Diceros bicornis minor: one gene and its partners. The protein of the gene in region 1 interacts with the protein of each later gene in a biochemical or structural test. Links are inferred from orthologs where the notes say so. Each region holds a gene or a part of one and is shown in the gene's direction. Other genes may lie near its edges.

Region 1 (7,568 bases):
CAAAAGTGTAACCTGGCTCACAGGTGGTCAGATATACTCATTTCTGATCAGTACCATATATATATGCCTACAGAATGTTAACCATAATAATGATAAGGTATAATCATGAGCTTTGATAAAATTTGTGCTTTTATATTACTCCATATTTGAAATATGCTAATTTGAAGTGAGGTCTATCATGATATATAATGTATTATGACCTCTGGACCAAAATCTATCAACAAATGTAGATGAGATGAGGAAGAATGAGTTGGATAGAGAAAGGAAGATAAGGGAGAGAGGAAAACCAGAGATGAGAATCATACCTATAAAGTGGCAATAGCATTATTTAACCAGGAAGGGTGAGGCTGCAAACTTGAATGCTTACAGTAGCCACGCAGGCCCCATGAACTGGTGAATCAGGCTTGGTGGTGTTGGTGAGAGCTGGAGACTTAATGTCCTTTCTGAAGGGGACAGTTATCACCCAGCCAATTGCCATCTTGCATGAAAGCAGACCCAGTTGGCAGTTGGCCAGCACTTCCCATTTTTCAAGAGAAACATAAAATTTAAAATCATATTTTAAATATGAAATCTCCTGATTTTTAAATGATGCCATTAATTCAATTAAAAGAAATATTGAGTGGGCCCCACAAAACCACATCTGTATCCTAAACTTGGTCTGCAAGCCACCAGTTGCAACCTTGAGGCTAATATTTCTAATGATAACCACCCCTGAGACAAGTAGTGACACCTTGGACAAAATTATTTAATCTCAGTTTTAAACCTTTAACATAGGCAAAGCATTGTGCAGGGTCCAGAAATTTCCTATAAGATCCCGATGCAAAGTAATTAACAAGCAACAAAGCCAGAAACTAATGTTCAAAACAGAGATCCTGCTTTCCAAGCATTACATAACCCTCAACCCTAGAGATAACGATAAATACTAATGACATACAACACTAATAAGAATACTAATGACAAATGAATGCCTCAGCAGTTTTGTGTCAGCATATTATCCCTGAGAAAGAAGTTGTTTCTTCCATATTCTCAACTCAGAGTCAAGTGCATATAACTTGACTCAAAAGAAGAGAGCAAATGGCGGAGGAAACCAAGAAAGGCTGCCACCAGGAGTGCCCAGGAACCTCAACAAGGTCACCTACTGAGGTCACTGACCCTTACCTTACAGAAATAGGCCATGCCTGCTCACAGTACAAGATTGCAAAGGTATAAATGGACAGACAGTTGAAAAATAAGTCTCCCTCCAAACCCTGATCTCCAGCTACCTAATTATCCTCCCCAGTGGCAACCCTGTTACCACATTCTTGTGTCTTCTTAAAATGTATCTTTAGAAGAGCTGTTGAGTCCATGTACATTGAAATAGAAGCCTATGTTAGAAATGCATGTTCCCACGGAATTTTAGGATTGGAAGGGACCTGGTTCAGTCCTTAATTCACAGTCTCCCTTAGCACTGCTCCTGCATACAAATCTTTCTAAGGATGGAGAAACTCATTCCACTCAGAGGCAGCTCATTCCACTTTTAGATAGCTCCAGTAGTTTATAAAAGATAATTTTTTTAATTCTGAAATCTGCCCCTCTGATGTTTTTCCTCATTAATCCTTGCTTTGACCTCAAAGGCCAGAGAAAACAGGTGGTCAAATGCCTCTGGCCTAAGACGGAACTCAAAACATTCGAAGCCTTCCTATCATCATCCTGCAAAATAACTCCAGTTTCTCCTCTCCTTCCACAAGGTATGTGATTTCTGGGGATTCCCTGCCATGTTCCTTCCAGAAAAGATTAAACTCATTTAAATACTCAGAAGCCTCTTCCAAGAGGAAAAATGCTCATCAGAGAAGGAAAAAAAAAAAGTTTCCCATTTGTAGATGGCAAAGAGAATGAACAGCTTGTGTTAGGAAAATTGACAGCACATATGAGAGTTAATGTGGGATATACTACGGTTGCAGTACATGCTTGCTAATATGGTGTACGTGGATGCTTTATCTAGGAAGTTTTTGGCCAAGCAGAAATTTTGGTTGTACCTCCTCTAAAAAGTTTCCAAGATATTCTGAAACAGAATTTGGGGTCCCAAAGTCTCTATCTGTCTCAGGTTTAGAAAAGTTGCAGCAAAAGAGTAAAGAAGAACATGGCCTAGATTTGGGTTCAAGGCTGGCCTCATACTAGCAAGTACGCTTGGGGACTTCGGACAAGCGATTTATTTAATGCTGCTAAGACACAGCATCACCCTGTCATAAAAGGCAGACAAAGGTGTAACCTGGCTTACAGCGGTCAGATAAGCTCATTTCTGATCAGTACCTAGCAGCATGCAGCCAGGGTTCCTGGTGCTGTTCCTGTGGCGGCAGCCTTCGCCTGGGATGTGGCCTGGGATGTGACTTGGGATCACTCCCTGCAGAGACTGGATGCCCAAGCACCCTCTATGCATAGCTCAGCCTAGGCAAGGCTCCGTTTTCTCAAGAGGATGTCATTTCTGCCAGCTTGGCCATTAGTTTTTTTACTTAACAAGTAACACAGTTATCAGTACACTCCATGTACCTGCCAAGGGGTACAAAAGCATCCTGAATGCCTCACAAGCTCAGAGCAGAAACTCAAACTTAACACAGGTGTCCCAGGAGGATCTTTAACTCACCCGTTCCTCTCCCTTCGCTGGGATCAACCCACTATTGGGTTGTGTGCCTGAAGTGTCACACTGTCTCCTTGGGGAATTGTTTTCACAAAGCTCTGCTTCTTGAGATGCCATCAGATCATGTGGAGGGACATTATAAGAAGACAGCACCGTGAAGGTGGTGCTGTCTATTCTAAAAGCAGTCAGTGAGAGCTGGGATACCTTCACACACTGTGTGCTTCGGGGGATTCATGGGATAAATTTCTATGCAGTCTTAAAGATTAGTTGTAGCTTCAGTTGATTAGTGTATTAACATATGGACAATAGATTTGTGCCACCTCTCATGTTTCCTTGACAGATGGCTTAGAGCCAAATCGGTGGCCCTTGCTGAGGAAATGCAGGACCTGGGTGTGCGCAGGTCTTCTCTAAGACTCTCTCCTGGCTTCACTCTACCTTCCACTGTTGTGTTTCCAGTTTGACCTTCTCTAATTTGTGTAATTTTTCTGTAGCTGTGTCTTTACATACTTCTTGAAGTCCTTGTTCGGAACATGTGGAGGGAACCAAACCCATAGCCTGCAGAATCTTCATAGCCTTTTCCACCCAGGGGCTAAACGAGTTCAGAGGGCTCAGTGGTCTTCCTGATTTCTTAAAACAAATGAACACAAATGACTCTCAGTTCAGAGGAAAAGTCATGGGCTCTGTGGATGGTGAGGAGCCCGGTGCCCTACCCTTGCTGGGTGGAAAGGAAGGATGCACAGTTCCTCTCCTCCATGGACAGGAAAGGTCCCAGTCTTAACTCCATTTCCTTTAGGTTTGTGATCCCTTCTTCAACAGTGGGGAGACCAGCGCTGAACCTGCCTGAATGTCACCAGTGGATCTTGGGAGGAGAAGAGGGGATTTGGTTGTAAAATGGGGCCTGAGGACATGTATCCTGTGGGCGGAGGGGCAGTGGGAGTAGGGCAGACTTCGCTGAGAGAGTTGAGCTCAAGTTCCTGCAGCCCGAGAAAGCATACTTTCTTCTGGCCAAACGCTTAGCAGATTTCCCTGGCTTTTCTCCTGCTTGGGTTACGTGTGCTGTCTCAGGACAATGGGGCACCTGGCTTCTCTAAAAGTGTAATTTTTCGCAAAGTTTTGCGAGGTAATTTACCCCATTTATTTGCTTTTCAAGTACCCCTGGATGATTCCCGGCATATGAAACGCTGTGGGTTCCCTCGGTACTCATGCATTCATTCAACAAACATTTCCCAAGGCCTGTCTCTGTGCCAGGAGTCGGGTGCCCTCATTTCAGACGATTTCGAGGGTGACAGGATCTGAAGGCCTCTCGTACCTGAGAGCACCCTCTCAGACACCTGGCACAGCAAGGCGCAGCAAAGGACAACTAGGCTGCCAGGCTAGCCTCCGACCCCCCACTAGGATCCCGGGGTGCTGTGGAGGAGTTGGGGGCCAGAGTACAGGGGTTTTTTTCCTCATCCCATCCTGGGCCTAAGGCTCAGCTAGTCTGCCCAGAGCTGGTACAAGTTCGCTCCTCAAGTTAGAGGGTGGGGCGGGGAAATGGGAACCCTGTACAAATGAGGATCGACGAAGGCTGGCCCCGGAGAGAGCAGGGCGAGTCCTCGCGGACCGGGTCCTGGGGGACAGCGCAGGGAACGCCCCACTCGGAAGTTAACTCTTACGGGCACCCTCGGGTCCCGCACGCCGCCCCCGCTCCCGCCCTCACTGAGCGCTCGGGCCCACGGGGGCCACCGCCGTCCCCACCTCCTAGTGGCTGCCTGCCTGTGGTCCTAGCTGCTGGCTCTGCCTCCCTCCTCCTCGTATTCTGCTCCTCCTCTGCTCCTCCCGATCCCTCCTCCTCCTCCTGGTCCCTCCTCCTTCCAGCCCAGCCTTCGCTCCCGCGCCCCCGCCCCGCGAGCTAGACGTCTGGGCAGCCCCCAGCGCAGCGCGGCGGCCGCAGCCTCCGCCCCCGGCACGGTGTGCACGCCCGCGGCCAGGGCGGCCGAATCCCGCGCGAGCCCCGAGCGAGCCCCGGCCGCCGCCTCCCGGTCCGGGCAACAGGCTACCTCCGCGTCCGCCGGAGTCCCCGCCTCGCCGCCGCCGCCGCGCACGGCGCCCGACTCCGACTCCCACTCCGACTCCGACTCCGTCCGGGGCTAATTGCGGAGACCCGGAGCGAGCGTCTCGGAGGCAGGATGCGATCGTCGGGGACGGTCGGCGCCGCGCTCCTGGTGCTGCTGGCTGCGCACTTCCAGGCGAGTCCGGCGCTGGAGGAGAAGAAAGGTAAGGGCGTGCCCCCCGGCCCCGCGCCGCCGTCCCGGCCCAGCCCGCGCTCGGCGCACCGGCTCCGCGTCCCGCGCCGCCCGCCGCTCCTCTCCTGTTTCCTTGAGGGTCGGCTGCGCCTCTGGCCGGGACCGTGGGAGGCAGTGGACGTTTCGTTTCTGGGCTGGGCGAGTCCGCGGCGGCCCGAGGAGGGGACACTCCGGACGCGGGGCCGCGGGGCTGCGGGCGGGTGTGGGAACTGTCGCCCGGAGCTCGGCGCCCGGAGCGCTCGCAACTTTCCGGCTTCACTTTCCTGCCTTCCTGCGCGGGGTCGACGGCCGAGGGAGAAAACTTGACACGGGGTGGGCGCGGGGCGGCTCGTGTTTCCGCACGTGCGCCCCGGGCTGTCACCTGGGGGTCCAACCGTGCCGGGGGACTCCCCCGAGGGGCTTAGGGAAGCTGAGGACGGACCGGCGGGAATCCACCCCACTCCTCTCCGACCTCCTGGGACAGGAGCGGACGCTCCGCGTCTCACACTTAAGGTGGCTCGCTGCACCCGGCCTTGCCAGCCTGGGTCCCGGCCCCGCTCTTGGGTCCTTGCAAGCCCTTTTCCCGGGTGTGGAGCCGCAGCCTTGAACCGGGAGGCCGGAGAACTCGTCTGCCACTACCTACCTGTGGCTACCGGGAAGGGAGGACTTAGTTTCGTCTTCGGCAAGAGAAGGAGGGTGAGGTCGGACCCCGCCTGGGGCGCAGATCCTTCGCTCCGCGCGGTCTTGCTGCCGCCCCGGGACCCAGGCTCCCTGCCAGCCCAGAGCTCCCTCCCCGGCGCCCTCGCCCCTTGAGCGCGTGGGTCTCGTGAAGTGGTGGCTTCCTGGGAACTCTCGAGATTTGGCCCCACCTGCTGCCCTTTGGTCACCTCTCTAGGCTTTGCGGTGGAGCTGGACAGAGCGGTGGGACCGGCCGCGGCTGGACAGCTGGGTCCTGGTGCCGACCTCTCTGTGGGCGGAACCCATCTGGCCAGGTCCCCATAGTTTTTCAAAATAAGGCTCATAGCAAACTTTCCACCTCAAAATCCCCAGATTTTTTCTTTGGGATGTTTCTTTTAGCTTTTTGAAGAGTATGACATTGGGCCAACCAAAATATTAAACTTAATTGAAAAAAGAAAGGACTGATATCCATGGTGCACGTGTGGCAAATGTCCAGACCCAGCCTGAGCGAGTCTGGCTTCGTGAGTACCGACCATATAGGCACTTGACCTGAGAAACATGCCTCGGAAGGTTTAATTGCACAGTTTCAAAATCGAGCAGCCCGGGTTCCAAGAGTCAGGTCTGTACTTGCTGGTGATGCCATTGGCACAGAGAAGAGGAGTTTGAGGCTGAGTGCGTTTGTTGGGGGAGCGTTAAGGCATAAAGCAGTGGTTCCCAAACTTTGTTGCAAATTAGAATCACTTGGGATTTAAAACGAAACAACAAAAATCGATGTCTGGCTCCCACCTCTAGACATGCTGATTTCATTGGTCTGGGGTGAGACCTGGGCATCCGGGTTTTTAAAAGCTCCTCAGGTGATTCTGTTGGATAGCGAGGTTTGGGGAACCCTGGCACAGAGGAGAGATTGGTCAAGTCTTGGGAAAGATTACCTGCCAATGTAAGGAGCTCTTTTGGAACTTCTGGAGTTCTAACAATCTTGCAAAATGTGGGACAGAGGAGGTGGGAGGTGATTTCAATACTAAGGGATTAGTCTTTTCCCTGAAAGCTTTTCCTCTCTATGGAGGCTGCAGGGTTCTGCCTCCTCCGTGCTGTGCCCCAGTGGCTGTGAGCCTGTTCCTGAATTGGCTGACTGCAGGGTTCTCTGAGGCAGGTGATCTCTCCCTTTTTGCTGCAGGGGACCCCATCCTTATTCTAGATTAAACTCTTAGAGCGCCTCCAAAGCATCACTTCTCACTCCAGAAATGATCCCAGCTCATTGCTGTTACCTGTTTGAACACTGCTATTAGTGCTTGGAGATTTGTTTCTGAGAAGAACATAAATACCACTTATTTTGCCTGTTAGTCCCATATTTGCTTAAAACAGAATGCTCCTGAATAAAATAGTGAGTGTAGGTGAACACATGTCATTCAGTTAAAGTAACATGAAAAGACCAAATTTAAGGAGCAAATTAGTAAAAATATAAGATGAGGTCTTTTTACAAAAAGCGTCGAAGACTCATATCAATCAAATTTAGTCAGTTTTGTTCAGGAAAATTTACTCATTTTAAAGAGATTTATTTGGTTCTGAGATATGGTATCTTCTGTTCTTTGTTGCACTTAGTACTGTCAGACACTGTTTCAAGTGTCCTTTTAGTCCTTACATCAAGCATGTGATGTGGGTACCCTCATTATATGTGAGGAAACTGAGGTACAGAGAGGTAAAGTGACTTTCCCAGTTAGTAAGAGGCAGAACCAGGATTTGAACTCAGGCCTTCCAGCCCCAGAGCCCTCCCTCAACCACCTGCCTCCACTGCCTTGCGTGAGTCCTGGTTTTAGGAAAGCCAGGGTAAGTGTGTGTGAGCGTCTAACGTCAGATGCTGGGACAGGGAGGGAAGGGCCCGGGAACAGGCTCGTTAGGAAGGCCCCTTGTGTGAGTCTGTTCACGGTCTAGACTGCTGCTCACAATTACTCAGTGGTCACCGTGGCCACCTTTCGTGAAGGCAGCTGTCACCAAATTAACCGTGAACTTGGAAA
Region 2 (7,741 bases), on another chromosome or scaffold:
AAGTCTTATTGGAACACACACATACACACAAAAGGTGACAGAAAGAATTCATTGAGAGTAGAGTATTTAGATATATAGAGAAGAGACCATTTATAGGGAAAGGTTCTTGGGAAGGTACAATGGGATGAAATCCAAAGCATAAAGTGGAGGGATTGGCCTATCATAGGAGGAAAGCAATGTCCTCTATTTGCCATAAGAAGAAGGGAGAGTAGGAGGAGTGAAGATGGTATGTAGGTTTGCATGTTTAATGGCTAGAAGCTGAAGGAGTTTCCATCTGAGCACTTTGGTTTTCTGGTGAAGCTGTAAGAAATATCTTCAGTTGATGGAAAAGGTGGAGGGTTTGGAAATTTGAGAAGTTTGAAGAAGGTTTCAGTTATCACAAGCATTATTCATAATAGCCAAAAAGTAGAAACAATCCAAATGTCCATCAACTGATAGATGGATAAATAAAATGTGGTATATCCATACAATGGAATATTATTTAGCAAAAGAAAGGAATGAAATACTGATACATACTACAACATAGATGAACTTTGAAACCATTACACTAAGTGAAAGGACACAGTCACAAAAGGTCACATATTGTTTGATTCCATTTATATGAAATGTCCAAAAGAGGCAAATCCATAGAAACAGAAATATTACTGGTTGTCAGGGGCTACAAGGAGGGGAAGAAAGGAGGAATAGGGAGTGACCGTTAATGGAAATGGAGTTTCTTTTTGGGGCGATGAAATATTCTGAAATTAGATACTGGTGAGGTTGAAGAAATATTTGAATATACTAAAGACCACTGACTTGTAACTTTAAAAAATGTGAATTTTCTGGTATAGGAATTATATCTCAATCAAGCTGTTATTTAAAAAAAAAGAGAGAAAAGTTATTAAATAGGCTAGTTGCACTATGCAGATAAAGGAAGTGGGATTGGCAGGCAGCAGAGACATCCACGAAATTAAATAAGCTTCAGCTTGGAGACCCTCATTGCACAAGTCCCCATGAGAATAGGGAGCTGCTGGAAGAGGTGGTGTGTCCTAGTTGAGAAGGGAAACCAGGAAGCACTCAGGAAGCATATCCACGTTAGGATTCTGGTAATCATAGAGATCTCAAAAGAAAGGCATCTGTATCTCTAAGCCTCCAGTAATTTTTTATTTATTTCTTCATTCTAAATACATATTCATCCTAATTTTGTATTTGTAATTGTATATTCTTTTCCTTTAAAAGGACTCTCCCCAAACTGTAGAAGCTTCAAGTTCCAGAAAACCAAGATCTGCCCTTGCAGATAGTTGAGGATGTATTTGAGGTCATTGAACACGAATTTATAGTGATGTCACTCATCCTGTTGTGTGACTTGCTCCAACAGTACTCAGCTGCTTGGGTGTAAAAGAGAGTAGAGTTGAGTTCATCTAGAGTTGGGGTTTTGTGAGTTGGGAGCATGTTATTAAAAATGTGGACCACAAAATTTAAACTGGATAAGCGGGGATGTGAAGTAAGGAGAGGTCTGATGGATCATGAGAAAGCAGAGGAGTCAATAGGCCACAACAGTTGTTGAGAAGAAAGATGATTATAGAGGAGAATTTGAAAGATCAAGTTGGAAGATAACATGGTTAAGGTGGGATGCCGGAGGTGAATGACAATGTCCATAGGGGCGATTGTTTGAGGCGATCTGAAGGTCACAGGCGATGACATGATCATTTGCTCTAAGGAAAATCTAAACTCAAAGATGATCTTCAAGGAGCTGCACAATCTGTCCCCTGCCTGCCTCTGTAACCTCACTCAGCCCAATGTCCCTCTCACTTGCCTCACTGCTGCCTTCATTCAGGAGCTCCTTCAAGCCTAAGGACTTATACACCTAGGAGTTTCTCTGTAGTTTCTCTTCTGTCTAGAATGTTCTCCTCCGCTACTTGGCCAGGCCAACTTCTACTCATCCCGAGGATCTCAGTTTAAAGTCTTTTCCTCAGGGAAGTCTTTCCAAATCTAACCACTCTTCTCCCAAGGGGTAGATCCTCCTATTATATGCCCAAATAAGACTCTCTTTTTTCTTTTATTTATTTATTTATTTTTTCCCCCAAAGCCCCAGTAGATAGTTGTATGTCATAGCTGCACATTCTCTTTTTTCTTTCACAACATTTATCAACCATATTGAAGAAGTGATGGGGCTAACTATTTGTAAAATAAAATTATCTGTAAAATTTAATAAAATTATCTGTAATCTGTAAAATAAAACATACACAGACTTCTCCGGGATTGAGGAGTGCAGGAACAGGTCTGGCTTTCCTCTCTGTTGTATTTGAGATCCTCAGAGACTTGCACATACTAGGACGTTCCATAAATATTTGTTGTATGAATGCAATTTAAGACACGTATAATAGCTTTTTCCAGCATACGTTTTAAAATACAAAGATATAGAACATGGTTTAACAGATAATCTGAAAACGGCATATAATATAAAAATAATGTAAATTTCCTTCCTAAAATACATACATGGAGACATATCTATCTTCAACCTCTCCTCAACCCTTATTTCATCTCTACAAATACAAATCTAAAACAACACAGTCGAAGATAGGGAAAAATAAAGATTTCTTATATAGAAATGAGATAATTGGATCCCTTATTTGAAATAAAAAAGTTATTGGAACTTCCAAAGGTAAATAGTACATTATACTACCATTTTCCATTAAAAAGGACTTTACAACAGGAGTGGAGGGAGTGGTGAATTTTTTAAAGCCAACAACACATTTGGAGGACGTGAGGCAAAATCTGTGTTCACATACTTAGAAAGAATCGCTTTGGTTTATTAGCTGCCATAAAATTTACACTCATGTTCTAAAAAGCCTTTAAATTTAAGAAAAACAACAACAACCCCTCTTGCTTGTTCTTTCTCTCAATCCTCTTTATGGTTTTCCTTGTTTCCACAAAACAAGTCTGATTCTCTTCTCTTTAATCTTTTAAATCTCTGGCTAAAGGCCTCCTCAAAGAAGACTTCCTTCTTATTCTGTCTGACCTAGTCCACTCCAGTTATCCTTTCACCTTACTGTGTGTTTATTTCCCTCAGGGCACCACATTTATCACAATCTGTACTTATGTTGACCTTTTATTTGTTTACTATCCTATGCGACCGCGGGAATGTCACCTCCGTAAGTGCAGGGACCCTTGTCACCACCCCCAGCCTACTATAATTGTACATTTTCAGACTCAGAGGAACTCCTGAACACGAATGATGTGTTAATAAGAAAATGCCTGAGGTTATTTTTCCCAGAAATGTTCACTTATCTCCTTTTATCTGATTGTTTATATTACCTTCTAAAATTTGTTTTGGGGCTTTGTTTTTCATAAAAAAAGTGGAAAAGATATTTCTATTACAGGATCAATCATGTTAAACTCAGGACCAGGGATCATAATTGTAAAACACATACAAATAGGCAAATAGAACTAGGACATCCAGTAAGTTTCCCTTTCTAGTCCAACATCCCAAGGGTAGATTTTAAAGAAATACGAAGTCAGTGGAAGAAACTGGCAACAAATGGAGGCAGTGTGAGACTAAAATGTCCCAGAGCCAGACTCGGTCAAATCCTTTGGCCCCGATAAGCGCTCCCACCACTCTGGCAGGGTTGCTTCGGGGACCAGTCCACGCCAGGCTGGGTGGGTCCCCCTCTGTCCTCCCCGCCAGGCTGGTCCCTAAGGCGCACTCCCCTTCGCCTTCGCCCTCCCGGTCCTGGGGCTTCAGTCTCGCCGGCAGAGATCAGCGGGGTCGCGGACTCTCCAAGGCGCCGTGGGCTCCCCAGGCTGTTTTGCTTTGCAGGCTGTCAAGTAGAGAAACCCACCCCATGCCCCAACCCCTCCCCCCCAACTCCTGATTTCGTGCACAGTACAAACTCCGAAGTGACACCCGCCAGAGCCAAGATGGCAAACCGCAGACTGAACAAGAACGTTAGTCGCTCTTCCCCGCGCCCAAGCCCCGGTGGCGCTGCCTTCTCCGAGGACTCGGCCGCGTTCCCCGGCGAGGAGCCCCCTGGGGGCTCCAGCCGCCACCGCCGCCGGGCGGCCGAGGACCCCGCTCCAGGTTCTCGAACTACAGATCCCAGGGTGCCTCTCGGACTCCCGCTCCCTCCCTCCTTCGCTCCCTCCCTCCGTCCGTCCCCTCCTCCCCCGGCCCTTGTTGTTTTGGCTGGAAGCGTTCTGGCGGAGTTTCAGAGAAAGTCTGGACAGAAACCTGAGCCGGCCTGAACGTGGGAAGGGGAGGAGGAAAGGGAGGAAGAGAGCGCCGGGAGGCCGGGAGAGGGAGGGATCGGGGCTGGGGGCCGGGCCGCTCAGAACCTGCCGCGCGCCCCAGGGTGGGGGAGGCGGCGCGGGAAGAGCGAGAGGGGACGGGACAGTGGGATCAGTCCCGGGAGCCCAGCAGCCGAGCGCCTCGTCCCCCCGCCGCTTCCCGCCCTCTTCGGCGGCGGCGAGAGCGAACCCACCCTCCGGCGGGACCTGCGCCCTCCCCAGCGCCCGCCGCCCGGCGACGCCCCGCGCTTGGCCGCCGACCCTGCGGCTCCCTCCGTGGCCCGGGACCTGCCCTGCGCCCGCTGCCCACGGGACCCTCGCGGCTCCCCCTTCCCTCCGCGCTTTTGGGCGCCGCGGGGAAGTGACCCAGCCTCCCCCGAGGAGGGGGAAGGAGATCGCCCGGGGCGCACCGAAACCGAGAGCGGGCGAGCCAGAGTGGGCGCCGCGCGGGGTCATTGTGTGTGTGAGTGAGTGTGTGTGTGTGTGTACGCGTGCAGCGTAGTGTCTGTTTCGGAAAACGCTCTGGGGAGGTCCTGTCCCTAGAGGGCGGAGCGCAGGGGACCGAGGCTCCGGCGCTTTGCTGGGTCAGAGTCCCGCGGAGCCGGAGCGCTGCTGGGGCGGCCGGCGGGACGGCGCGCCTGGCGGTGAGGCGGGCGCCCTCGGCCCGGCGGCGGCCCCTGCCCGGAGCTGTCGGCCTTGGTGGCGCAGCCCGCCCCTGTCGACGTCCGCGGACCTGCGCGGGAGAGGCTCGGCCGCCGAGAGCCAGCGCGCCGCAGAGCCCGCCCGCCCCGTCGGCCCGGGCTGCGCCGCCGGAGAGCCAGGTCCTCGGCGCTGCGCGGCGGCGGGCGTCGGCCGTGTCGGGAGCGCGCCCGGCCGCCCGTCTGCTGCCCGGCGCGGAGCCGGAGAGGCGCGCACCATGAGCGGCGGCGAAGTGGTCTGCTCGGGATGGCTCCGCAAGTCCCCCCCGGAGAAAAAGTTGAAGCGTTATGTAAGTACAGCTTCGGCCTCGGCCGCGCCGGCCTCCGCGCCCGCACCCCTCCCCGGCCGGCTCGCCGGCGGCTGCAGCCGGCCGCGCGCGGGGCTGCTTCTCCAAGTCAGTCCCCATCTCTTCCCCCTCGACCCCTTCCCCATGCTCGGGACCGAGTCGACACTCACGCCCTGGCCTCCTCTTTGCCGGGCAACTTTCCTCCTCTGGATTCCAGACGCCGGCTTTGCGGGCCTTCTCGGCCCATAGGAGGGCCCGGCATGTCCAGCTAAACGCCCGCTGCGTGTTTCTATTATTCCTTTTAGCAGGGGTGAGGAGAAGACCATTCTTTCTTTATAGCTGCATCTCATCGTTATGGGGCTGCTGTGTCCTCAGTTTCCCGCACTAGGAAAACCGCGGAGATTTTAGAACTCACCAGCCCTCTCGCTGGTCCGCGCCGCCTCTCGCTTTCCCTCGAGGTGGGTTGCGGGAAGCGGGCTGTGGACCTGAGAAGTCAGTATTAGAGACAGGCATCTCAAATCGGCGCAGAAGGGAAAGAAAAGTTATTACGCGCTCTACCGTTTGCTTAACAGGGTTCACATTTTCGCGGTTTTGAATCGAGGGCCATTGGAGCTTGGCCCGAGAGCCTTGGCAGTTTGCTGCGAGAGGAGGGCGCTGGGGGGAGCCTGGTGGCTGGTGTTTGGGCGCCTTGGACACGCTGTCAAGCTCTGCAGGAGGGGACAGCTGGGGCCAGTAAGGATTTCTGTTTGTTGCGGTCCTTTCCCAGGCCACCAGAGTTGCTTAAATGGTATTTGTGTGATTGATACAAGATGCTGATTATGTGTTAAACCGTTTTAGCTGTTAGGGAGAAAATTCCTTGAAAGAATCAATGTTTCTTTGGTGGAAATCTGTGTCTTCTTCAGGGGTCTGAAATCTCGCCCCTTCTCCCCCATTGGTGCTTTTGTCGCTGCCCCCTGCAAAGGAAAGAACTGATGCTTTTGCCCTGGCATTTGGAGCAAATATTTTTCTAGTAAAATATATTTCAAAAGCAAAATTTATGCCCCCTAAAATATAAATTTACTATCAGGGGGCTGACACTTCTTCTAATGGAACCTGTTTCTTGTTGAAGGACATCTACACCCAGTGTTAAAGCTCGGGTTAATCCTATTAGTCACTGTTTGCTTGTATAGAATGGAGTGAAATATTTAACTTCACTGACAACTCAGCAGTGAGTTCTGATTTACTTTCTGCCAGAATTTGTTATAGACAAGTAATTCTCATTTAAAGATTTGATGCCACAAATCCTAAGAAAGTTCTCCAGAGATTTTGCATCCTTCCAAATTCTGTCTCTCCACCTATCACAGCTTGCCTGAATATTAATGGTAAAGATGCTGACTTTATTCCAAAAATTTGAGAGAAGTAGTAGTTTTTTTCAGCTCTTAGTTCTAAAGAGAACGTTGTATGTGTGTGAGAAGAGGGAGTAGGGAGAGAGATGTATTTGTTTTGAGAGGGCACACTTTAGGAAAGACATAGATCTAAGTGATTGGGTTCTTGGGGGAACTAAAGAACAAAATGTTTGCTGAAATAGGTAGTGATAATAGAGAATTACTGCATTCTTTCACGTGGTTGGTTTGTGGCTCCGTCAAAAGATGCTAAGCACTGAACTAGGCACCCTAGGATTAGAAAACACAGTAGGAAAACAGCCCTGCCTCTTGGACTTGCAATTTAATGTAATATAAACCAAGAAGAAAATCAGCCAAAAAGATTATGTCATAACAAGGACCAAAAAAAAAAGGAAAGTCTAACTTAAAAAAGTATTTATTATTTTATTTGGTCGTTACAACAGTTTAATGCGGTAGGTGTTATCTCTGTTTTACAGATGAGAAAACAGTCTACATAACTAGAATGTACCAGAGGTGGGATTTGAACCCAGATCTGCCTGACTCACTGGGCTCTAAAAGGTTAATGCCTCTCATCTAGTTCATTTCAGGTAGAGCTCAGACTAGATCATCGCTAAAGGTCCTTTCAGATTATAACTTTCTATAAGTCTGTGAATGTTAGTTGAGAATGTGAGGAATAGGTGGGCTGTGGATCAGATGTGCAGTGCTCAAGAAACGTAAGACCCTTCAAGCAGCTTTCTGGGTCTTTGGGAAGATAGGTCAAGTATACATGAAAAAGTGAGCCAGCAATTCATAGTGGTTTCTCATTGTGTGCCCAAGCTGAGTGGTATGTTTGTTCTTTTTTTTTAATAGATGTTTTGAGGAACAAATCCAATGTAGTCTGAAACCATGAGAATATTTGAGAGAGACAGCAGGCTACCTAAATTGTGTTTTCAACAGGGGGAAGAATATGCCTAACAGCTAGCTGGGAGGAGGCGGGGTTTTCTTGCCTGGAGGAACACTAGTCTTTTCTTTACACACCAGTGACTGGGCCATGGAGATGGCCCAGGAAGACTGGGCAGGGTGGCTGTTAGAATTGAGGGGTCCAAGAGGGTGACTGAAGTGTTATACG
Region 3 (7,719 bases), on another chromosome or scaffold:
CCACCTAAGAGAGGCCATGGCAGCTGAGACCTGAGCAAACCTTAACTGGCCTCTCTCTCCTGTCCCTTCTGCTCCCCCCAGCCAGATCCCCAGACCTGGGCTTCCAAACATTGCCACCTGAGATCCAAGAGACCCCTCGGGACCTCCGTGTCTCTTGCACTGAAGTTTCACCCAAAAGTTTATGGCCCCTGAAGTTTGCTCTGATGACTTTAAAAAATCACTTTTCGGTTGCAGTCTTAAACTGAACCAAGAAAGCAGGACAGCATTTCAGTGGTTGAAAGCACAAGCTTTGGAGTCAGGCAGACCTGGTTTGAACCCTTGCTTTCCCTCTTACTAGTCATATAACTTTGCACAAGTTACTCATTTCATCTCATCTGTAAAGTGGGGGTATTGTGAGCAACCGGGGTATGACGGCCATAAAATGCTTAGCCCGGTGCCTGGCAGAGGGTAAGCGCTGATCAACCACGGTTGTCGGGGGGGGAGTTCTGGTGATTACTGCTGCTGTTGGGGTTCGGATATGGTGGACAGTGAGGGGCCCCACTTAAGGCATCATGCTCCCACACCTTAGAAGCAGGTCATGTGAATGGGCTTACAGCTGTCCCACTATGTGCAAGAAGTTTCTAAGGCCAAAGGGAAGGCTGCATCCCTAAGTAGGTTTTATATTAATTCCCACTGTCACCGAGGTTTTCCAGCTATTCCTGGTTTTTCTACAGAGTCTAGACCTGCTTCCCTTGGCCAGGGCTCCTCAAGCTCTCCCACCGTGGCATGCTATGAAGAGGTTCAGGCAACCTTCCTTTCTAACAGCGAGGCCTGGCTTTTAGAAGCAGAAAGAGGATAAAGCACATAGAACTGTTCTGGGATGCTGCCCCGGGAATGGAAGGTTCTGAGAAGCCTGAACCCCTGTGTTTATAAGACAGTGCAGAGCATGCGATAAAAGCATCCCTGATCTAGTCAAACAGAAACCTGGCTGGAGAAGGCACATCCTGCATTCCTGACAGCAACCCCCCGCAGGTGTGACCTCTCCATGCTGTGGGTCCGCTCAAATGGCAGCCAGCCATTCACGGACCAGAGTTCCTAGGTGATCTCTCTTCTTCCCTGTGGAGAGAGAGTAGCACGGCCCCAGAGAAAGGACATGGGTTCTGAAGTCAGGAGAGATACGTGAGCACCCTGCATCCCTGCATCCCTGCATCCCTGAATCCTTGCTCTGGGAGCAGGGGATGACCTCCACACCAAGAAGGTGAAGGATGAATATCTGCCTCCCAGGGATGCTGGGAAGATTAAATGCAATGGTGTCTGCTAATTGCCCAGCAGAAGGTGGGTGTAGAACACAGATGAATGGCCTTCCCTTGATCCTGAAGAACATAAAGACAAGGTTTGGATCCTGTCTACTGGGACTTTATAAGAAAGTGATGATGGTTCTTTTCTCTTACTAATAATTTTCAAAAAGCCATTGAGTCTTGATTGCTAGAATTAAAAGGGGTTAAGTGCCTCTCTTTGGGGATCATCTTTTCCACTCATGTCATTTTTCAGAAGAGTAAACTGAGGCCCAAGGTCATGCAAAGAAGACAGCATTGGTCCAAAGACTGGGGGGAACATCAGAGGCAAACGCCAGTTCGGATCCTTTGACATCACAAAGAAAAGAGAGAAAGAAATCAAGCATTTTCAGAGCCAACGTTAATGAACTCATTTCTCTTTTGCCCTCTTCTTATTATTCCTAGAAGCAATTATGTCTCTCATACCCTCTCTCCCACCTCCAGCCACCGCATAAAACTGTCACAGATTAAATCAAATTGCTCAGTCGGTTCATCAGGGAGACTCCAGCTCTCATTCTCTGGGGGCATTTCACTCTTCTCAAATAAAAAAAAAAAGATAAGTTAACTCCTTCCTGGAGACTAGAGGAAGCCAGTGAGCAGACCACTAAGGGGCTGTTGAGAGCTGATGGGTTTTCTGAACCGCGCAGGGCATGATGGGCTGTAGCCCGGCCCCAGCGCCTGCTCTCAGCGTGCACACACCGACCTACCAGACAGAAACAGGGAGAGGGCTGTGCCAAAGCAGAAGAATCCAGGCTCCTAGGATCTACTCCACCTTTCTCATCTCGAGACCCTGGGTATGTTTCTTTTCTTGGATGGACCTCAGTTTTCCCATCTGAAAAATGCAAGTTTCAAGTGTCTTTTTTTTCCTGTACTGGATTCCATGAATCCCCACAAATAGCACATGAATGTTTGAGAAGAATTCTAAAGTCATTGGGAAGAGGGGTGAAGTTGGAATTCACTTTGATAGATAACCAAGTCTTTTCATGACGAGTTTTCTAGAATTGCGATGTAAGGGAAGGGATGAGATGGATGTGAGGGCCAGCTGGAGGTTGTTTCTTGGAAACAGCTCAGAGGAAAAAGATGGAGGGAGGGGGAAGGCTCGGACAGGCCGGAGGCAAGGGGCACCTGGGATGTCTGGAGGGGTGGGAGTTGATACTCCAAGCGGGCGCTCTGGGGCAGGGTTAAAGGCATAATCTCTGGTGTTTAATTGATCCTTGATGCCAAGTGTCAGACTCCAGGGAACAGAATGGCATGGTTAGAGGAGTCAAGTGACAGCACAGTGCTCTGCAGTGTGGGGACACTTGAGAAACTGAGGGGCTGAAGCCAGTGCACAGGTTTCAGAGTTCTCTCTGCATGGGAGGCCTGCCAGGGCCTCTCCTCAGCCTGCCTGAGAGCTTTCTCCAGAAGCCCAAAGGCCTTGGCAATGACAGATGGGAAGGCTGAGGGACTGGGGTGACTAGTGGGCTCCAGGAAGGCATGTGGAGCAGGACAGAGGTGGCGGGAGGCCTCAGTGGGACATCTGCGTAGACCACACGGGGTGCCAGCACCTCAGAGTCAGAGGCCACTTGATTTGCTCCTTCCCTGCCCATGTCTAAGGTGAGGCCTCAGAGGTGGCTGCTTCCCCTGTCAGCAGGTGGGGTCACATGGACCTGCCTTTCTCGGGGTGCCAGCTCAGGGCCCAGCAGGGAGACGCTCCTTAGGTGTCTGCTGAACTGCAGGGAATGAGGCTTCCAGCCACTCCACCAGGCATGGTTTTTCAAGCACTTTTTTGGAGCACGTTTTCTCGAATGCCTACGCTAGGCTGGGTGTTAGGGACAGAGACAACTTGTCCCTGCCCCCTGGAACCAAGGTGATGCTGTTAAAGACTGCCCAGCCTGCCCAGCCTGCAGGAAAGGCCCTGCCAGGGTCAAAGGCGTCCCCTTAGCTGTATATGGGGCAGAGGGGGCGAGATGGAGAAAGAAGGGCCGGGCCTCACATCGGGAGGGGCCTCACCCTCAGACATCCCCATGGTTTCCCATCATGAAGACCAACCTGATTGAAGAGGACCCGGGATTCTTAACTTTGAACATATGGCCCATTCAGCCACACCTTCTGTGGTGCATTATGAGTTTATAGTCTGTTGCAAAGCCTCTAATTATCTTGGGAACAGCACGGTTATATAACAATCTATTAGTTTGACTTATAACTGATGAACTTTTCATGTAAATATTTAAAATATATTAACTTTCAAAAAACACTCATTTTGGTTTCCCCTGTTTCCTAATATACTAGGTATCCCATCTCACTCCCCCTCTGCCCAAAATTAGGAAGTGGCGCACACCTCCCTCAACCTCTGAAAGGCCTTGCTCTGAGAGCACAGATCTGTCCAGAATCTGAATGTTTAGTACAAAGAGGAAGAATTTAATGCCAGGGTGGCGGTTGGATGGGCTGACTTTTGGACCATTTCAAACTCCTAAGGCCTTGATCCTAAACTGCAGACAAAGAATGGGGTGGGGTGCAAGTTTCTAGTTGGGCTGAACACCCCCTGGGGGAACCTGCCTCATCAGTTCTCCTCTGTGTCCCCACGAGACACAAACAGCTCTGTCTATGGGTGTGGCCTTCTTCTCTGTGCCTCTAGCAGCCTGGGAGGACACTTTCATTCTGTAATCACTTAAGCCCCTTTCTGAAATACTTGTATGAAGCCCCAGAATTCATGCTTTTATCACTATGGGCAATCAGAAAATAGACTGTAGATGGCAATAACTAAAACGGATTTTAAGCCAGGCCATGTTCTAAGTGCTCCACGCGCTTTATCTGTTAATTTTGCAGCCACAACCCAATGTTGTTTGATTATTATTCCCCAAAACAGACAGGAGAAGGTCAACAACTTGCCCAAGGTCACCTAGCTTGGACGCACAGACCCAGAATTTGAACCACTATGGAACAAAGCGGAGACATAGCATCAGCAGTTCCAATCCCGGCCCCACGGTTACGTGCCGTGTGACCTTAGCAAGTCCCTTACCCTCTCTGAGACTCAAGTTTCCTTCACTGCAACATGGGGTTAGGGGTGCAGGGACTACACCATAATCAAGAGTAACAGCAGATGCACAAGGGCAGCAGGGGCACGTGACTTGTTCTGCAAACATATGGCATTGTTATGGAGTTTCCCTTTTTCGCTGTTTGTGAGAGCATGTTGAGAAACTCCAACAGAAGAGGGAAAGTTGAAACAGGAAGTACCCTCTCCTCACCCCCTTAACTCCATTTTAAGTGCCCCCAATTCCCGGTGCAGGGAGTTGAGGGCCGGGCTCATGGGAGGAGAGACCCGACGAGGCCATGTGAACTGCCACTCATCGCTCACACAAACACTGCTGCTCACTGTCAGCCAGCGTGCGCAGGAATGGAAACTTTCGCCACCAACAGCGTTAGCTAGCAACTTCCCTCTCTGTGGTTTTTCTCTGTCATTCCCTTGATAAAAGAACTAGAGCTGCGTAAATATAACCAACATTCACGAGGCTCATCTTCACCTAAAAACACCCGCCTTTCAAGGAGCGAGCTGCCTGAAAAATGATGCACGATGTGCTCTAAACTGGGTCATTCTCCACCCCGAGGGCTCGGCGCGCAGTTGACTTTCTGTGTGTATCCCCCGTGCCATAGGCTTCGAGCATCTTCGACAGTCCAGAGAGAGAGAGAGATGGGAAACAGCATGAGATCCACTCCGGCGCCTCCCGAGAGGCCTCTGCCCAACCCCGATGGTAAGTCTGGCTTCTTTGGCGGATGCTTAACTCCATCCCACGAGAGTCTGGGGCGAAGATGGGGTGATGGGGGATACTGCTCACTGTGGAAACAGGGCAGTGGGTACATAGGGCTTCATTATACTGGTCTCTCTCGCTTTGCTTGTAGTTAACATTTTCATAATTAAGTGTTAAAAAAGATTGAGCCATCGTGCCCTGGAAGGATGCTGATTCGCTAGGATTTTGTGATGAATCTTCCAGAGCAGCTGGTTCAATCCCTTTATTTTATAGGTGGGGAAACTGAGGCCCACAAAGGGAATGTAGTTTGTCTCGTTAGCTGTTTGTAGAGTCGTATTTCCCACCCGGGCCAGTCTGATTCTGAAACCTAGGCTCTTGCTTACTGCACCCTGCCAGCGGGTGATATGATTTATGCTGGGTATAGAATATCAGCACAGCTCTGCATGGCTTTTTTGGTGAAACGTCACAAAGCCAGACTTGAGCCTTAGGAAATCTTCCTGAAAATAACAGGATCCTTGTGCTCCGCTGGTAGCATCACAGGGTTCAGGCGTTCTAGGGGGATGGCATAATGTCACAGGTTAATCAGTGATGACAAAAGTCAGCTTTTTCTGGAGATGCCAGGTTGAGCCAGACTCCTGAAGCTACAGAGCTCTTCGGGGCTTGGCCAGGGAGCTGGCGGAGGGCATCAGCGGTTCAGGGGCCAGTGGTACTGGTTGCCTTGAACACACTGGCCCCTATTTCCTAGTCAGGGCATTGGCGGGTGCACTGTGTAGGTCCTCTAGGGAGTTGGGAAGGGGATGGTGAGGAGGTCAAGTGACTCGTCCGTGTTCCCCAGGTGAGTCATGGGGAACCTTGGGACACTTCTGCCTTCCCCCTTACGTCACAGTGCTCAGGGCCCGAGCTCCCTCTCCTGACAGGGGTGACTAAGCCTGATTCCCCATGCCCCCTGCACAGTGCACTGGGCAAATTTCACATGCACAGGTGGCCACCATAGTCAGCTGAGCTGCAACTCAGCATCGGAGTGGACAGAGCCAGGCTCCCACCCTGCCTCTGTGTACTGCTTATTCCACGATTTCTGTGGCCCCTTAAAAAGAAGCCTTCCCACTTCCTCCCAAACAGAGACACCCAGCTTAGGCATGGTCGCAGGGCCCCTCAGATGCCCTGACGTGAACACACAGAGACCTGCTGCCCTACTGCCCGCTCAAGTCAGATGCAGGGCAACTCCAGGGGCTCTCCTTTCTAGCCCAGTACCTCCCCTCCCCAAACCTCAGGTGGAAAAGGACAAAGGGGAGGGAAGCGCGTGCTAGGAGGAGCGGAGTGTGTAGTGGGGCCCTTGACCTCGCATTTAAAGCTCAGAATTGTGCAGCTGTGCAGAGTGGCCCCCCCCTGCTGCCGCCGGGAGAGCCCAGGCCACTTCTCCCGCCTTCTCCAAACCAGCTCAAGTCATAGCCTCCTCCTCCCGTCACAGCCACTTCTAGAAAGCTGACACTGTAATGCCCAGGGCCCGGGCCGGCTCAGGAGGCCCTCGTCCACCGAATCCATCTTGTACTGTCACCTCTCACCCTGGGGCCGGGGGGTGGCATGCTTGAGCAAACCCCATGAAAACACGGGCCTCCTAGGACTTGCCCATTTGCCTTTATTTTTTAAATGCAAATAGTCATAAAGTAAGTTTCTCTTTTTCCACTGTGTGGGTGGGAGGTCACCTCTAGAAAGGAGGTGGAGGGGTCTCCCCACCCCTCCACCCCCGGCGAAGAGAATTCCCCAGGTGGTACCCAGTTGTGATCCAAGCAACCACATCAAGCCCTGGCGGGTGGCTTCTCCATCCCCCACCCCTGAAAAGTTTCCCTTCTGATCAGTCCCAACTTGATTTCCTCTTTTCTCTGACACCTACTTGAATAAGGAGAAGGTGGTGCAGATGATGCTGCACTAATGAGCCTCTCTTTGGCTTTTCACAGGACGAGCACCTTCTCAGCTAACGCTCACGCTTACTCATGTAGCTAGTCTCAGATGCCTAGGAGGTGGTACAGTGCAGGGAGCTGGTTGCTTTAGGCCGACACACAATTGGAGCTTCCTCTGACTTTAACATGAGTGGTGCAGAGTAAAAAGCACCAAAGGCGCCAGCCCTGTGCGGGGATGGGCAAGAGGCCAACCTGTGGACTTTTCTGAGCTTTTAGATCATTATTCCTCCAAACCAGGACTGTGAATGCCTTGGAAGGCAGCTTTGCCCATCTGTTTTCTCCTAACCTAAGCTTTCCAGAACATTCCTGATTAGTCTAGTCCCTAGAGACTAATATCACAAAACCCACAGAGAGAGCAGGACTTGATGGAAACAGGGCAGGTCTCATAGGCAAATGGCCTTGTTGAGTTTCTGGTGCTGTCCCCTGGGAGCTGTATGACCTTGTGTAAGTTCCTCGGGCTCCCACGGGGGCTGGGGGGACTCAGTTCTCAGAGGAGATCAGAACAATCCCTCCCTCCCAGCAATCACATAGCACAAAGTAGCTACCTGATAAATGTGGGTGGAATTCCTTTTTTTTTTTTAACTCCATTTGGGGTTATCTCATTGTACTGGGTTATGTCTAAATGGCCATCCCCCAAAAAGTTTTAAAGTGGTAAAATTGGGGATTCCATGACTTGTTTCCAAATCATCCCAAATAGCTCACTTTCTCTATAATTCTACA
Region 4 (7,917 bases), on another chromosome or scaffold:
TGAGGACTAATTAAGTACTGGCTGTATGCTGAGGTACAGGCTGGCTGGCTCACAGATCCAGAGATGGGCTGGTCAGACATCTAACATAAGAAACTACTCAGTAAACATTAAAGAACTGTTTAAAGAAAAGGGATCAAGTTTTATGTGTGGATTAGACACTGCAAGTCTATAAATCTGCCTATCTTCAATTGTGGACGGGGCTTCACTGAGCTATACTTTTATATTACACCTTTTGTATTCATACATGGTTATTATAAGGAACAAATGAAAACTGCATTAGCATTTGCTTTTATCTGTTAAGAACATTCTCCACTATTTCAATCAAATAAGTGTCCATATGAGAAACTTCTTTTATAATTTAACCCCAGGAAAATTTTTCTCCCCCAAAGAGTCAGTTATCAGAATAGAGTTTTTGCTTTGGCTACCAGGAAGCTCAGCCACATTTGATTCTCAATAACAGCGGCCATGGTAATATGTATTAACCATATAATATTCCTCCTTTTTATAACAGCATATCCCATTTCTATAGTACAATATGTTTGTCATTTGTCTTAAGTACTTTAAACTTTTTTAAAGGACTGGAAAAGAATATATTTGTGGTGGGCAGTGATGTGCCACTCAGATTCCCCTTCAGGGAAGCACTTGTTGCCCAACTGCTGGGAGACCTGTCAGCCCCCTAAGATCACCTCAGCTGCAGAGAGCTGTCTAGCAGAGGCTGTGCTCTTCCCAGGGCAGCCCACATCCAATGGCTGATTGAGGCGGGGCTATGAAGGCCCAGCCATTTCAAGCCAGCACCGGACCACAGAGCTCCCCAGGGGCTGGCTGAGGCTGTCATCAGGCCTGCCTCACAGTCTAACTACTCTCTGTGCCTCCTCCTGCTTCCTTCCTTCCCCTTCCACAGTGTTGAGCCCAAGGGCACTCCCTAATAAACATTCTTCACACTAACCTCTGTCATAGAGCCTGCCTCCCAAAGAACCCAACCTGTGACAACATTTAACCAAATAAATAAAAATAGAAAAGACATCAGGTAGGGGTATCATGGAAAAGGGTGAGGATACACAATAAAATGTTCATACCTATATGGGAGGCAAGGTAGCATTGACTCTGGAGCCAGGCTGCCTGGGTTTGAATCCCATCTCTGCCACCTCTTAGCTGTGTGTCCATGAGCATGTCTCTTAATCTCTCCATGCCTCGGTTTTCTCATCTGTAAAATGGGGATAATAAGAGTACATATCTCACTGTGCTGTAATGAGGAGTAAGCCAATGTGGGTAAAGCAGTTACATAAGGCTTACAATATGTCAAGCACTGTTCTAAGTGTTCGGTAAATAAGATAAAATAAAATAAACACCTATGAGGTCCAGAGGGACATTGGGCTAGGACTCCTCCCTAGACTCCAGGCACAGGTGTGGTGTGGGCCAGAGCATGTTAAAGCACGAGTGTTGACAGAAATAGGCCCAAGCAGGGCTAGCCTGGGCAATGTCATGGGCGTGTGCCTCGTGTGGGTGCTGGGCTGCTCCCTCCCAGCCGGTCCAGCTGCACACATTGCCAGTTACACCCACGTATCCATATATATATGCTGAGCTGGGGGAAGCCCATACTAGCCATACCCGCTGTGTGACCTGCTTTTCCTGAACCTCCTTTGGTGGAGGGAGGCACCTGAGGCCTGGGATGCTGGCTCAGAAGTCCCAGGAGGAAATGGGGCCCTGTTTCCTGATTAAGGGCCCGGCAGCAGACTGACAATATGAGCTCCTGTTGGCAGGGATTTCTGGAGCCCCTGGGGGCCCGGCTCCGGAGGCAAAAGCAAAAGCAAAAGCAAGGAAGTATGGGCTGCATGTCGGGAAGCTCTTAGAAAATGGAGAAACAGAGATTTTAAAAGGGCATCACGGCCTGCAGGCTGCCCAACTCGGCACAAGAAGCTAAACGAGGGCTGTAGCACTTAGGAGGGGACCTCCTGGAAAGATGGACAAGACCACATAAGCACAGAGGGGCCCCCACCTGTCTTCCTGGCCTCATCACCTCCCATGCTCCCCCTCACTTAGCAAACTAACCTTCTTTCTATTCCTAAACTCACTAAGTTCTTGCTGGCCTCAGGGCCTTTGTACATGCTGTTACCTCTGTCTGGAAAGTACTTTCCTCCAACCCACCTCTGATAATTCACCTGGCCATCTACTCACATCCTTTAGGCCTCTGCTGAGTCCTGGAGAAGTCTTCCTTGTCTACTAGATCTGAAGGAGGTCTCCTTAAAGTTTTATCTCATGGCCCTCTGTTCTTTTCCTCTGTAGCCCCCATCAAAATTGTCCCTACATCACAGAGTGTTTATCTGTTTAATGTCTATGAATTCCTGGAGTGCTGATGCTGGGTTTCCCTCATTCTCCCAACTCACGGCACCAATGTCTAGCACAGGGATGTTCAGAGGCCACAGACAGGGGCAGCATCACTTTAAGCCCAAGCCAGCCCAACCCACACTCTATGAGCATACACATTCTGCTGAGTTCCCTGTGCCCAGGGCCAGCCATGCCTAGGGCCTCCCCCACCCATCCTGATTAGCCAGCTAGCCTCCGTGCCCACTGGCTATGGACCGCCAGGACCTATTTAAGCCAGTGGCTCTCTTGTGAGGCAGAAAATGCATGGAGTCAGACAGACTTGGGTTCAAATCCCCATTTATTAGTTATGTGGCCTCAGAGCAAGTTGTGGATCTTCTCTGAATCTCAGTTTCCTCATCAGTAAATTGGGGACAATAATCCCTAATTAGAGGGTAATTATGAGGATCAGGTGTGACCACATGTGTACGCATTATAAGCACTGGGTCAACTTTAGTTACCTCCCTCCCACTTTAAAGGCCCGTCACTAGGTGGCAGACCATCTCAGCCACTCCACCTCCCCTTAGGTGGCTGAAGCCTATTAGCACAAGCATCTCAACTTGAGGCTGAATTCTCAGCCTCTTAGGGGCCACACTTGAGGGAATCAAAACATACACACACAAGTTACCACTACATCAACACAAAGCCAGAGGCAGCCCCAGACACTAGTCACCACCCAGCTGGGTAGAGTGCCTGAGCACACACTCACATACTCACAAACTCCAGGAAACCTGGATCTTCCTCTGGCATCAGCTGGGGGCTCTGCCGGGCTTCTCTCCTCTGAAATGAGGTAAGCTGTCCTGCTCTGCCTGGCTCAACATCTGTCAGCCAGGTTCCACTGTGACCGCAGGTGTTTTCGGTTTTGGCGGTGCGGGGCAGCCAGATTGCAAGGGCGAGTCTAAAGAATGGCTTCAGGAAGACAAAGAGTGTGAATCATTCAAATAAGCATAAAAAGGACTTGTGGCTGGAGAGTGGAGAGTGAAGGGGAGGTGGTGAGAGATGAAGTGGGGGAGAGAGAAAGGAGAGAGAAAAGGGCCAGACCATACAGGACTGGCTGGGCCAGGAAGGGAGTGTGGATTTTATGTGCAATGGGAAGTCACAAAAGGGTTGAGGACAGAGGTAGGGGATCATGATTTAGTTTCATTTTAAAGATTAAAGCATGGAGAACAGATGCAGGCAAGGCCAAGGGTAAACAGACCAGGTGAGAAAAGATGGGCCTTGGGCTTGTGGGTGTAGTAGATACCTGAGGGTAGAGTGACCTAGACTTGATGGACTGCTGTGGGGTTGAGGCAGAGAGAGGAATCAAGGATATGTCCAAACGGTTTTGGCCTAAGCACCTTACAGGAGTTTATGCCGTGTTCTGAGAAAGCAAAGACTGTGGGAGGCGCAGTTGGAGGAGGGAGGTGAGATGAGTGTGTTAAGTGGGGACGTGGAGCAGGCAGTGGGATGCAGGGGAAATACAGATCTGGCGCTCCAGGTGCCTGGGTTGGGGGTGAAGCCATGGGAAAGGTCAGGTCGCCTTGGGAACTGGCTCAGGACCCAGCCCAGAGGAAGAGAAGCTTCTGAGGCCGAAAGGCAGCGGCCAGAGAGGGAGGAGGAAAACAAGGGGAGTCAGGCCAGGAAAACAAAAGCTCCGCAGATCATTTGCAAGGGGGGGCGCGGTGAGGTAAGGCCTGAGCCCGCGCCCTGCCGCGTGGAGACAGGGCGGGAGGTGGGCGGGCAGTGGCCCCTGCGAGGGGCAGAGAGGAAGGTCGCCGGGGGCCGCAGGTCTAAAGGCCCTGCAGGCGATGCTCAGGCCGAATGACGGGACCCTCCAAAGCTACACAGGCCAAAAGCGCTGGACAGACGCGGGTCCCGCCGTCGCAGGAGCGGCCTGCGGTCCAGCCCTGCGGGACCAGAGAGGAGGGGCAAGACAGGCCTGCTGTCCATCAGAGCCCGCCGGCCAATCCGCAGGCAGCCCCGCCCCCGCCCCTCCCCTGAGAGGGCGCGCGGAGGACCCGCCGCCGCCGCCGCCGCCGCCGCCGCCGCCGCCGCGGGTGTGAGGCGGCCCGGCCTGGCCTGGGTCCCTCCGCCGGGCAGCCCGCCCAGGTAATTAGGTTTGGCCGGCGGGCCCGGGGGTAGCTCCGCATCCTCACCTCCTCCCGGTCGCGGCACGGGCGGCGCTCGGGAAGCGGGGCTGAGGAAACGGCTGCGGCTGGGCCTGTGCGGGACAGCGGAGTGGGCGGCCGCCTGTGCGTGTGCGACTGACTGCCGGGTCGGTGCGAGGCTGCCGCGCGTGGCGGGTCGGCAGTGGCCGCCAGGCCGTGTCCGGGGCCACGGGAGGGAGCCCCGCAGGACGGAGGTCGGGCTGGTGGCCCGCCGGCGGCGCGCGCGCTCCCGCCGCCATTGCGCCCCGGGCCTGTCCGGGGGGTCGCGGGGCGCAGGCGCGGCGGGCGGCGGGCGGGGGTCCTCCCCACGGGCGTGCGGGCGCCTTTGTTCCCGGCGCGCGGGCCGGGGCGGGGCCTGCGGGGCCGGCCCGCCCCCCACTCAGGCCCGCCCCGTCTCCGCCCGCAGGAGCCGCCGCCGGGGCCCGCTCGCCAGCCGCCTGAGCCGTCGCCGCCGCCGGCTCCCCCCTGCCCGGCCTGCGCCGCCGCCCCCCGCGCCGGAGCCATGGCGGGCGCCGCGTCCCCCTGCGCCAACGGCTGCGGGCCCGGCGCGCCCTCGGACGCCGAGGTGCTGCACCTCTGCCGCAGCCTCGAGGTGGGCACCGTCATGACTTTGTTCTACTCCAAGAAGTCGCAGCGGCCCGAGCGGAAGACCTTCCAGGTCAAGCTGGAGACGCGGCAGATCACGTGGAGCCGCGGCGCGGACAAGATCGAGGGGGCCAGTAAGTGCGCCCCGTCCCCGGGGCCCGCTGCGCGCGCGGGGGCGGTAGGGGTCGGCGCCCGGCTCCCGCGCGCCCCGGCCGGCCGGCCGCTGGAGTGACTTGGGCAAACTTTCAGGCCCTCCCCGCACCCTCCGGGTCCCGCCCCCGCCGCGGCCCCGGTGGTCACCGGGGGCGGGGGGCATCCGGGTCTTCAGTCACCTGACAGGACGCCCCCCTCCCCCAGCTCGGGGGAGTGTTCCAGGCGCTTTGCCCAGAAGCCTCAAGATCCTAGCGGGTTGGAGAGCAGTGGGGCAGGCATCGGGTCCCCCACACCCCGGGAGTGGTGTCCGCCGAGGCGAGGGGAGCCAAGGCAGCATCCCCCACCCAGGCCCAGGACTTGGGCCAGACCGGACGATCACCGCCCACCACCCTTTCTCCAAAAAGTGCAGTTTTGGTGAAAGCCGCTGGGACCCCGGGCTGGGCTCTTATTTGCAAAGGAACCTTTGGGTCACCGAAGTAGAACTTAGGCAGATGTTGAGGTAGGGCTGGTTTTGGAGCAGAGCCGGGCCTACTCGTCCCCCTCTGGTTTGGAGAAGCCTGAGAGAAGACAGTGGCAGCTTTTTCCCGCTGCTGCTTTTGTCCTGAAGCTGAATTTTGGAGGTCTGTGTGGGTGGGCAGAGACACCCAAAGCCAGTGCAGGGACTCTTGGTCAAGGGACCAGGCTCCCCGTACGCTTGGAGCTTGGTCCCAGAAAGGCCAGCCTCTGTGCTATATGGAATCAGATGCTCTTTTCAAGAGCTCGCAGCCTGTTTGGGGTCTAGCCCTTTGTGTCCTGCGTCCCCTGGCTGCAGGGAGCCGGGAGCGGCTACTCTTGATTTCCTGCCTCTTTGCCTTCCCAGGCCTGAGCTTGCTTGCCTTTGTGCAGGTCTCAGTTGGGAGGAGGGAGTTGGGGGATTTTGAAAAGCCCCATATATTTCAGAGTGTTACTCCACTTAGCTTGTGTCTGTGCCATGACCAGATGGGCACCCAGCTTTGCCCTCCATTCCTCAGCCTCCAGGTGTGAGAGATGATGTGTCTGCAACCCCACACTGTGGGTTGCTTCCTGCAGGGACCCCCAGAGACTGGTGTTAGAGCCAGGCTCAGAACTAGGTCCACGTGGAGGAAGGAGGGTCAGGAAGCGACACCCCCAAGGGAAGCTCCTACAGACCTCCTTGGGTATGGTGTACATGCACACAGATGGTTGAGGAGATTAGGAGGAAGGAAGGTCTTGTGGTGAGGCAGCCGTCCTCAACTACAAACTCCAGATCTGACACAGTTGCTGAACTTAGAAATGGCAGCTGCCCTCCTCCATGCCCCCATCGCCCTGTCAGCCATTTGGAGAAAATTTTAGTGATTTGAGAAACTGGATTCCGAAGTGGAGGAAGACAGACACTGCAGAGAGCTGAGATAGTCCCGGGAACATCACCCAGGCATCAGACTCCAGGCATGGCCCCTTGCTTCTGTGGTGCTCCCTGTGCTCTGCTGAATTGGTGTCACTGGTTCCCAGTTATTGGCTGGAGGTTCCCAGGTAGAGATCTCCTGGGTAACAGGCTGCATTTCAGACCAGGTGCGTGACCAGCAGCTAATAAGTGCAGCACAGTGGTTGAAGGCAAGGCTGGATTTGAAGCCCATATATTAGTTGTGTGTCCCCGGCCAGTTACTTACCTTCTCTGAGCCTTAGTTTCCTCAACTGTAAAATGGGAGTAATATATCGACTGTATATGGTTGTTCTGGGCATTAAATGAGAAAATTGATGTAACAGGTAAATAGCACAGTGCCTGACACGTTGTAAATGTTTAATAAATATGAGCTGTTATTAATAATAACAGTAACAGTAGTAGACTGTGGCTGCCCTCCTAGACCCTGGACTGGGAATGTTGAGGGAGTTGGAGAGTGGCTGTCGGAGCGGGTGAGGGTGCAGGAAGGGAGGAGGATGGGGACCAAGTTCATATTTCACTTAGATCACTACCCGGAAAAGGGGAGGAAATGGTTTTGTTTTGCCCCAACCCATCTACTCACCCATCCACCCACCATGGAGAACAGTGTATAGAGTAAGTATATGGAGATGTACACATCTGACTTCTGGCTGTGACTTTCTTATTTGTATGTTGGGGCCTGAACAGAAGGAAGGGGTGTGGAAAGGGAAGAGTTTAATCCATGGTGTCTCAGGTCTTTGGGGGATGGAGGTAGGAATGCAGAGGACCTGATGACCCCAGTCCCCAAGGGTGGGTCAGCCAGAGGGGTACAAATTCAGTGGTCTCATCAGTTAGCTGGGATTTGAGAGGCCTGGAGCGTAGGCACAGGGCATAGAAGGTGCCTTGGCCCTTTGATTTTGGAGGCCTGGATTGAAGGAGTCTGGTAAAAAGGCTCTTAGGTGCTTATGTGCAGCACAGACCTTGGAGATGGAGCCTCCCACTGAGCTGCCCTACTTTGCCCCTTCATGAGCACACGTCGTTGGTGCTTCTGATCCCAGCAGCCACCCTCTGCGGGCTCTGAGGAAGGTTGGGCTGCCAGCTGGGTCCCCTGCCACCTAGCCCCTTGCCCAGGTGCCTCAGGTGCCTGGCCTTTTCCTGCTGACCCTGCCAGGGTACCACACAGTGCCTGTAGCCTGACCAAAGAGAGAGACACTTCTGCTACCCTCAGGGTGTCCGTGGCCCTGAAAGAGAGCCAGT

The links.
Region 2: the proteins of EGFR (region 1) and GAB1 form a complex in vitro, tested with the Homo sapiens proteins (2 studies listed by BioGRID, with this or other methods). The link is inferred for Diceros bicornis minor from reciprocal best matches to the Homo sapiens genes EGFR and GAB1.
Region 3: the proteins of EGFR (region 1) and SLA form a complex in vitro, tested with the Homo sapiens proteins (2 studies listed by BioGRID and IntAct, with this or other methods). The link is inferred for Diceros bicornis minor from reciprocal best matches to the Homo sapiens genes EGFR and SLA.
Region 4: the proteins of EGFR (region 1) and PLCG1 form a complex in vitro, tested with the Homo sapiens proteins (2 studies listed by BioGRID and IntAct, with this or other methods). The link is inferred for Diceros bicornis minor from reciprocal best matches to the Homo sapiens genes EGFR and PLCG1.

The regions. Positions count from the first base shown.
Region 1 is NC_080780.1:11,022,767-11,030,334, forward strand, and holds the start of EGFR (epidermal growth factor receptor), read left to right. Parts: upstream 1-4,563; 5' UTR 4,564-4,782; coding exon 4,783-4,870; intron 4,871-7,568. UniProt on the Homo sapiens protein: Receptor tyrosine kinase binding ligands of the EGF family and activating several signaling cascades to convert extracellular cues into appropriate cellular responses.
Region 2 is NC_080750.1:33,150,807-33,158,547, forward strand, and holds the start of GAB1 (GRB2-associated-binding protein 1), read left to right. Parts: upstream 1-4,741; 5' UTR 4,742-5,182; coding exon 5,183-5,254; intron 5,255-7,741. UniProt on the Homo sapiens protein: Adapter protein that plays a role in intracellular signaling cascades triggered by activated receptor-type kinases. Plays a role in FGFR1 signaling. Probably involved in signaling by the epidermal growth factor receptor (EGFR) and the insulin receptor (INSR).
Region 3 is NC_080760.1:47,016,025-47,023,743, reverse strand, and holds the start of SLA (src-like-adapter), read left to right. Parts: upstream 1-4,715; 5' UTR 4,716-4,866; coding exon 4,867-5,044; intron 5,045-7,719. UniProt on the Homo sapiens protein: Adapter protein, which negatively regulates T-cell receptor (TCR) signaling. Inhibits T-cell antigen-receptor induced activation of nuclear factor of activated T-cells. Involved in the negative regulation of positive selection and mitosis of T-cells.
Region 4 is NC_080758.1:19,443,100-19,451,016, reverse strand, and holds the start of PLCG1 (1-phosphatidylinositol 4,5-bisphosphate phosphodiesterase gamma-1), read left to right. Parts: upstream 1-4,914; 5' UTR 4,915-5,010; coding exon 5,011-5,227; intron 5,228-7,917. UniProt on the Homo sapiens protein: Mediates the production of the second messenger molecules diacylglycerol (DAG) and inositol 1,4,5-trisphosphate (IP3). Plays an important role in the regulation of intracellular signaling cascades.